2 linked regions of the Nothobranchius furzeri genome follow. The protein of the gene in region 1 purifies or fractionates together with the protein of each later gene. This does not show direct contact. Links are inferred from orthologs where the notes say so. Each region holds a gene or a part of one and is shown in the gene's direction. Other genes may lie near its edges.

Evidence for each region.
Region 2: the proteins of ankrd52a (region 1) and ppp6r2b purify together in Homo sapiens (affinity purification with mass spectrometry; 3 studies listed by BioGRID and IntAct, counting the BioPlex papers as one, with this or other methods). This does not show direct contact. The link is inferred for Nothobranchius furzeri from reciprocal best matches to the Homo sapiens genes ANKRD52 and PPP6R2.

Annotation. Positions count from the first base shown.
Region 1 is NC_091755.1:37,185,750-37,190,050, reverse strand, and holds the start of ankrd52a (serine/threonine-protein phosphatase 6 regulatory ankyrin repeat subunit C), read left to right. Parts: upstream 1-1,286; 5' UTR 1,287-1,440; coding exon 1,441-1,467; intron 1,468-2,055; coding exon 2,056-2,139; intron 2,140-2,270; coding exon 2,271-2,349; intron 2,350-2,520; coding exon 2,521-2,591; intron 2,592-2,734; coding exon 2,735-2,935; intron 2,936-3,030; coding exon 3,031-3,118; intron 3,119-3,215; coding exon 3,216-3,358; intron 3,359-3,516; coding exon 3,517-3,729; intron 3,730-4,301. UniProt on the Homo sapiens protein: Putative regulatory subunit of protein phosphatase 6 (PP6) that may be involved in the recognition of phosphoprotein substrates.
Region 2 is NC_091744.1:70,738,289-70,742,781, reverse strand, and holds the start of ppp6r2b (serine/threonine-protein phosphatase 6 regulatory subunit 2), read left to right. Parts: upstream 1-1,392; 5' UTR 1,393-1,516; intron 1,517-4,493. UniProt on the Homo sapiens protein: Regulatory subunit of protein phosphatase 6 (PP6). May function as a scaffolding PP6 subunit. Involved in the PP6-mediated dephosphorylation of NFKBIE opposing its degradation in response to TNF-alpha.

The DNA of each region.
Region 1 (4,301 bases):
AGTGCCTTTAGATTTTGAAAGGCACCAAGAACTAAAATGTATTATTATAGATATAAAAACTGCAGAACAAAAAATAATATGGGGATGTTTGAATGAAAATTTCAACATTATTACCTCACATACATTTTTTACCTGCATGCTATTATTTTTACATTCTATTTGCCTTGTGATATATCATAATCTTTACTGTCCAAAATTATTTAGAAAAATATATGAACTTGCACATTTATTTATGCGCTTCTCTTAAGTGTACGTTGATGCCACGTGGCATTTTAAAATATATTTTATTAATTGTAACAAGACGTGTAATTCTACTACTATTTTAAAACACACAAAGAAACAGATCAATTAGCCTTATCACTCTCTCTCTTTCTTAACATTTTTTTAAATCACAATTGTCTATTTTTTGCTCATTTTAAACAAATTTTAAACCATTTTCTAAATAATTTTTTATATATTTTTACATTTTTTGTTTTTGTGAAGCGCCTCATGATTTTTATCTTGAGAGGTGCTATAGAAATGATATCTTCTTCTTCTTCTTCTATACATTTTCTTCTTAAAAAAGAAAAGAAAAATAGTTCACACCTTCCATAATCAAAAACAAATTGCAAAAACATTTCATTTGTTGTTTTAAATTGTTCATATAAACATAAACTGTGAAAACAAAGCTTACCATTGTTTATTTGTTTTTCTTATTACAAAAATACAAAAGTGACATGTTCTTAGTTTAGATATGATACTAAAGGCCTGTAGGTCATTCATTTCCTCTGCAGTAAGACTATAACTCCACAGTTTAACTGCTACTGTCACCATCCTGTCACGTCACATCAGAGCTATATTCAATACTTGTGAAATACATGTGTCTTTCAATTGTTATTCAGTAATATCCCAATTCCTTGAGTATTTACTTGTATTTTTATTCCCATTTCTTTAAGTGTATGTGAATTTTCCCACTGTGATCAATAAAGTCTATTCTATTCTATTCTATTCTAGGCTAGGCTAGGCTAGGCTAAAGACTAAACTAATTCTTATGTAATCTTACCTTTGCTGGGAACAGGAATGTGTCACATTTTTTTGTTTAATGCAGTATGTATAAAACTATTAACATGACATTAGTTGCGTGAAAGCTGCAGTAAAAGTTTTTAATTGATCTAAAAAAAATGCCAGTCATGTTTAAAAAAAAGGATGCGATAAATCTTTCTACCACAAGGTGTCGACATTTAGCCCGAGTCAGGGAGAGCAGACCGCCACGCCTGTAGGCGGACCAGCGCAGTCCCAGAGCAGACACTGGATACAGACAACAACAGTGACAGACGGAGTCCGCAATTGTCTTTGCTTTTAGTCATGGGTGTAGTCTGAGAGGTGGACACAGTAGCACACTACTATTTACCTCGAAGTTTTATCCCGATGAAGGAGCTCCGTCCTGGCTGAGTTTGGGAGATGGGAGTACTCAACATTGCAGACCAGGTACGCCGAAAGAAGGCGCTGTGGTTCTGCGATGGCGCAGTCTATTTGCTGGAAATGAGCTGCTTTAGTGCGCAACATGCTACGTATTCGCCGATCCACTTGTCAACATTTTTGTACTAATATGACCTGTGTTCTTATTTTAATGCGTATCCTACTGATAACGACTTAGTTTCTTGTATTTTTTGTCGTTTGGTTAGTGGACGGTTGTTTGCGTTGTTAAATGCCTTCCTCGGACCGTAGTCTGGTTCAGGGCCAGCTCACTTGGCTAGCTGACGTAAGTACGACGACACGGGCCTGTAGGCCTAAGCTGAGGCTTGGTGTAATTCCTGGAGAAAAAGATGTTCTTGGGTGATTTATCGGCTGTAAGCGTTTGGAACAACATTTACCGCCGTGCTATTGACTCTAGCAACTTGACTAAGTAATAAATAACGTTAAATTATTAAATCGGTTCAAATAAATCGTAGATGCGAGCTGATCTTATCCAGACAAGCCATTGGTCCGGATTGCGCGGAGACGTTTTTACCTCATTTCTTTAATTGCACATGTATTTTTAGCACAAAGTCAGCTGGTGTTTATTGTGTGTTGCAGCCTCCTCTGGTCCAGGCCATCTTCAGTCGGAATACTGAAGAAATTCAACTGTTATTGCACAAAAAGGAAGATGTCAATGCACTGGTGCGTTCAAAGCACACGGGGTTTTATTGGGAAATTGATGCAGAAGATTTAGAGATTTTTAATTGTGTGTGTGTGTGTGTGTGTGTGTGTGTGTGTGTGTGTGTGTGTGTGTGTGTGTGTGTGTGTGACAGGACCAAGAGCGCCGCACGCCTCTTCATGCTGCTGCCTGTGTGGGTGATGTCCATATAATGGACCTCCTCATTGAGTCAGGTGAGTCTGCTGCATTTTAGCCAGATGTCTTGTTTCTTCTCATCACATGGACACACCAAACCATCTCTTTGGGTGCAGTTATCAGCTGTGTGACATAATTTGATAAATGCGCTGTGCTTCTCCTTCTAACATGTTAATAATTATCTAATTTGCATGACTGGATCTGTCCAGGTGCCAGCGTTAATGCTAAGGACCACATATGGTTGACCCCATTGCACAGAGCAGCTGCATGTAGGAATGAAGTAAGACTATATCATAATGAGTTATTATTTGATAGAGTCAGATGTATTCACATTTAATTGTAAAATGCATTTAGCAGCACAGTGTAAAAATTGATGTTATCAGTCCAAATGACAAGCTCTGGTTATTGCTTCCTTCTCCTCAGAGGGCAGTGGGTCTTCTGCTGAGGCGTGGAGCCGAGGCAAATGCACGAGACAAGTTTTGGCAGACGCCATTGCATGTGGCGGCTGCCAATCGTGCCACGCGCTGTGCCGAGGCTCTGCTAACCCAGCTGAGCAACCTGAACATGGCAGATCGCACTGGTCGAACAGCCTTGCACCATGCAGCTCAAAGTGGGTTCCAGGAGGTGAGACTGCACTGATTTTATGACTTGTCCTTTGGAAATGCCCTTACAACTGAAACAAATGCTAATATTTTGAAGTTTTGTTTTCTTTCTTTCAGATGGTGAAGCTGCTGTTGAACAAAGGAGCCAACCTGAGTGCCATTGATAAGAAGGAGAGACAGCCTATCCATTGTGCTGCTTATTTGGGTTAGCAGGTTTCATTCAGTAGTTCAAACTTCTGTGTTTGTCATGGTTCCCTTTGGTCATGCGGGTAATAAAAATGTAAACTTTGTGTTTCCTGCAGGACATTTGGAGGTTGTGAAGATGCTGGTTTCTCGCGGTGCTGATAAAAGCTGTAAGGATAAGCTGGGTTACACGCCTCTCCATTCTGCGTCTGCAAGTGGTCACATCGAAATTGTAAAGTACCTGCTGAGAATGGGTACAGAGGTGAGTGGTTGCATCAAAGAATTTGCTTTTAGAACAGCCAGTCTTGATTTTAGACTGCCTTCTTTCAGATTTGACACTCACTATCTAGGAAAGAGCCCGTCTTTAAATGTTTCTGGCTTTCTGCTTAGAACGCTGTGTTTTGTGTGTGTTTTGGTCAGATTGATGAGCCTAATGGCTTTGGAAACACTGCACTCCACGTGGCTTGCTACATGGGGCAGGAAGCTGTGGCGACAGAGCTGGTGAACCACGGAGCTAATGTTAACCAGCCTAACAAGTGCGGCTACACCCCTCTGCACCTGGCTGCCGTCTCCACCAACGGTGCCCTCTGTCTGGAGTTGCTGGTCAACAACGGGGCAGATGTCAACCAGCAGGTATGAGTTTTAATAACCGTGTGCTGTTCAGGACTTGCTCTCTCAACATACAACATACAGTGACCTTTGCCAGATACATTCATATCTGTTCACTTTCACTCTAAGCTCTTCATACAGGTGTAATAAACCCTTTCTACAAATGCCTAGAGGCCTTTTGGCTGAAACGATGAGTAACGTTAGCGTGCTCGCACACTGGGTGAGGCCGTGGACCAAATGGTAAATGGCCTATATTTGATATAGCGCCTTCTAGAGTCCTGGAACCCCCCAAGGCGCTTTACAACACAATCACCCATTCACACACACAAATTCACATGCTGGTGGTGATGAGCTACGATGTAGCCACAGCTGCCCTGGGGCGTACTGACAGAGGCGAGGCTGCCGAGCACTGGCGCCACCGGTCCCTCCGACCACCACCAGCAGGCAAGGTGGGTTAAGTGTCTTGCCCAAGGACACAACAACAGCGACAGACTGAGCGGGGCTCGAACCCGCATCCTTCCTATTATGGAACGAGTACTTAACTCCTGTGCCATTGTCGCCCTTTGTGGTCAACAAAGGTGTCGTCCTCACAGAAA
Region 2 (4,493 bases), on another chromosome or scaffold:
AAAACTTTTTCTAATCCGTTTTGCCTTTCGACCTGTATTGCACATATGTTGCACTTTAAGTTAGATTAAAAATTATTACGTGTGTTTCTGTCACGTAAATTGAGATTTATTAGCTTGTAAAATGTAATATTAAAGTGACAACAAATTAGACACCACATCTATGACATTATCACAGAATATCTTATTCCGTGCTACTTTCTACGTGGCCATATTTAAAGTGGTTATTTCCATGTTTAATGCTCCTTCGTTTGTTGACCAGTGTCTCTGGACAATTGCTGGACTTTTTGAGTGAAAATAATGTTTTACAAAAATTTCAATCTGGTTTTAAACCACTACATAGCACTGAGACAGCTTTGCTGAAGGTCCTGAACGACATTCTTCTTGCAACTGATGGCGGAAGGTCTATGTTACATGTTTTGCTGGATTTGACAGCAGCCTTTGATACAGTGTTGTTGGATCGTTTTGAGCACTATGTGGGAATGACTTGGTTTTGGTCCTACCTTTCTAATAAAATGGTGTGTGTCCAGATGGGTGGTTTCTCATCTGAATTCTCCCATCTCCTCTGGGGTGTTCCGCAGGGTTTAATACTGGGTCCCCTGCTGTTTTGTGTGTATATTCTGCCTTTGGGTGATATCCTATGGAAACACAGTATTGATTTTCACCTGTATGCTGATGACTGCCAACTGTACTTGCCTTTGGATGAAGCTGGTGGTCAACCAATCTCAAAGGTTTTAGATTGTTTGTGTGAGGTCAGTGGTGGATGGTAGAACATTTCCTGTGCCTCAATGAGGGGAAGACAGAAGCAGTGCTCTTCGAGCCGCCACACCGATAAACTCCATGGTGGATTGTGGTGAATTAACCCACCACAGGACTATGCTGTTAATTTGGGAGTGAAGATAGTGAAGATGCGGGGTGACATGAGCCTTTCAGTTGCAGCTCCAAAACTATGGAATGAGCTTCCATTACACTTTTGGCAGTCCTCTTCCATACCAGTTTTAAAATCCAAGCTGAAGACACATTTTTATTAACTTGCTTTTAATCAGAATCAGAGAATCAGAGAGAATTTTATTGCCAGCACTCCAGCGAACCAGAGCATAGGAACTTGACTCCACAGAACAGCCTGACCAAGATTACACACACACATATAGACAAGACAGATACAGGCAGACCACGGGAGCAGCCATAACAGCGCTCATTTCAATAGATGAAGAGGGGATTACATGAGGAGAGTTCGGGGAGGGAGAAAAAGGCATCAACAGAGTTACACCGGCAGGGTGTGGCTCTACTATGCAAAAAAACACCTCTACATATAAGCACGAATGTCACAGTTCACAACATGAGACCCGGTAGGTGGGGGGGGTGGCGGGGGGGGGGGGGGGGGGGGGGGCTGGGACCCTGGTTTCCTCAGCGGGAGCAGCCTGTGTGGTGCTCGACCAACTGAATCCACAGGTGGGTGGGAGATCATGAGAAAGCACAGAGCACAGTGAGGGCCTCCATCTTGATGACCTTGATCTGTGTAAGTGATTGACTGTGTTGCTTTTTTGTCTGATTTTAAATTTTTGTATTTGGTTGTGTTTTCTTCACTTTTAGTGGATTTTATGTGTTATGTTTTAATCTGTGTCTGTGAAGCACTTTGGTGGCATGTAAGTGTCTGTAAGGTGCTTATAAAGTTCGAGTCGAATTGAGAGTCGAGTGGAAGAGGGATTTGAACCTTGCTAAACTAATCTTCTCTTTTCCTGTCTGGTTTGATGACGTCAATTTGGTGAGACAAACATTTGTAGTCCCATACATCTTTTCACACAAAACCTAAAATAACTTTAGAATAAGCGCTTTCTCTGCGATGGACTGGCTCTCTGTCCAGGGTGTACCCTGCCTGATTGCCCATTGACCGCTGGAGATAGGTACTAGCCCCCCCCCCCCCCCCCCCCCCCAATCTCTAAATGAATCTTTAAAATTCACTGACAGCATATGTGAAATCAATGGCACATAAATTGGGATCAGAAAATAATCTTTGTCATCTCATAGACTCTTAGGCCCAATCCCAATACTTGCACTTCCACACTTGCGCCCTTCAATTGCACAATCTCTGTCAGGGGTGCGAGTGTGTAGGGTGTCCCAATTCTCAAATGCACCCTTGATCCCCCCTTCACCCAAGTCTGCATTGATGTGGACTTGGGTGAAGGGTAATACCCACAATCCATTGTTGTGGGAAAAATGGCTAAATCGTCTTTTCTGAAAATATGTATTTTCAAATGAAAGTAGTTCATTTTAGGATGATTGGTTGATGCTCTGAATGTTTTGGACAAGACAGCAATTGATGTAAATAAATTTCAAATAATTGTTTGTTTGTTTGAAAGTTGTTAATAAAGGTATTTTTTAAAAATAAAAGTAGCACAGCGCAGGGCCGGAGTGGGACACATTTTCAGCCCTGGAGTTTCAGACCCCAGACCGGCCCACTTAACGAATTATTATTAAAATCATGTTAGAACTTTATATGTATAGTCTACAAAAGCACACTACTCGGTAAAGCCTTGTAATTCAGCGCAAGAAAGAGTTGCTTTACTTTATTTGAACATCAGTGCACATCTCCAACATTGTTCTTTACAACACTTTCTCTAACAATATAACAATCCACCTTCTGTTCAAACAGCTGTTCTGAGATTTTCAAACCTTTAAAATGAAATGACTCAGCACTCCCTTTCACACTTTTTCCAGTTTCCCTAGACTCACCTGCACACAATTAAAATAATCATCTGTAAAGCTTTAGCACATTTGATATGGAAAACACATTTTTGTAACCAATTAAAATATTTTCTATGGCAAAATATGCAGGCTTATTTCATTTTACTTTCATTCTAATAGCGATCTGTTGTGGGCTTTGTGCATTTACTAACAGAAATACATCAGGTCACTACTATTATTTGGACATTAAAATTATTATAATGAAACTGATGTTTGCTTGTTTGCACATGAGTTGGCTCACCTTCTATCCCAACAGGAGCAATACCCTCACTGCTGGCTCCTGGCTCTTCTTCTGACACTAAATCACACTGTGTGAAAATTCAGCATTCATTTTCCTTTTTTACACGCTTTCTGATCAATGCTGAATCATCTAGCATTTTAGAACACTTTCATATAGAGCCAGGATAGTTTTCATCATATAAATTTTAATAATATTCAGTTCACTGACTCAATAAGTAATCCTACCTGTACATGCCCGCTCTGGAATGGTGGGTTTCTGCCTGGTGCTTATTAGGCCTACTGGATCTTGTGGGCTACAAGACAGTTTGGTGGCATCAGTCACATCATACTGTTAATTATATTACATAACGTTATGTCATGATGCCATATAATTCATTATTGATGCTTAATTAGCTTGAATGGTGATTTGCAGCCGGTAAAGTTTAACATCTTGACTTGCCTTACCCGTTTTATCTTCATTTGAAGTTAAAGACCGCAAGCTTGTTTGAGAAAAAAAGGTGCTCATTTTTGCACATTTAGCTGCATCTGTTTCCAGCGCGTTCCTCTTTTTAATTCTTGCCTTCTCCGCGCCACCCTTGCTCTTTCTACTTTCCATCTCTCCGTCAACTGCGTGGTCACGTGGTGCGCACAGGCGCATACGGGGGAAAAAGAAAACGAGCTGCAGCCTGCAGGTAGACAGCCGGGAGGAGCGTATGTGATCAGCCCGGCGGCCTCAGTGCCATGACTGAACACCGGCACCAAAAAATAAAAACAAAATGATAAAACAAAAACGAGAGCACCGGCCCATGCGGCCCAAACATCGCGCGGCCCACCGGGAATTCTCCAGACCTTCCCGATTAGCCACTCCGGGCCTGGCACAGCGACCAGCATCCCGGCATGCGTTGCGGTCGATGGCGCAATGCTCCCTGTCCCAATTTGACAAAGATTTGCACATTTGTATACCACACACTCGAAGCCTTACTGCACACCTCCACCAAGTGCATTTCACAGAAGATCATAGAGCACAGTGCAAGTATTGGGATTGGGCCCTATTAATTTTTTGGGGCAGTTTGGGACCCATGATCCGGAACTAGTGCTGCGTTTCAGTAGTCCTCAGAACTTAGAACTTCTGGGCAGGAAATGACAAAATGGGGTTGTTTTGCATTCCAGCTCCCCCCAAAAAATGGATGCCACCAGTGTTGTTTGGCCCTGTGGTAGAAACACCCACCTAAATATTATGCACAGATAGAAATATATACAGAAATAAATATATGAAAAAAAGAGGAAACATAATGATACATTAATTAATAAATAAATATGGAAATAAAATGTGTAAACAAACTAACAAACAAATACATAAACGTGGCTGTAAAATATATAATAATATATTAATAATAACTGTGCAAATTAAACAGAAAATAAACATATCTTTTATCAGTTTTAATAGCAGTTTTTTTGTTTTGTTTTGTTTTTTTGACAGGATGAGCCCTCTATACTAGCACATCTTCACGGTAGACCATCCACCGTTAAGC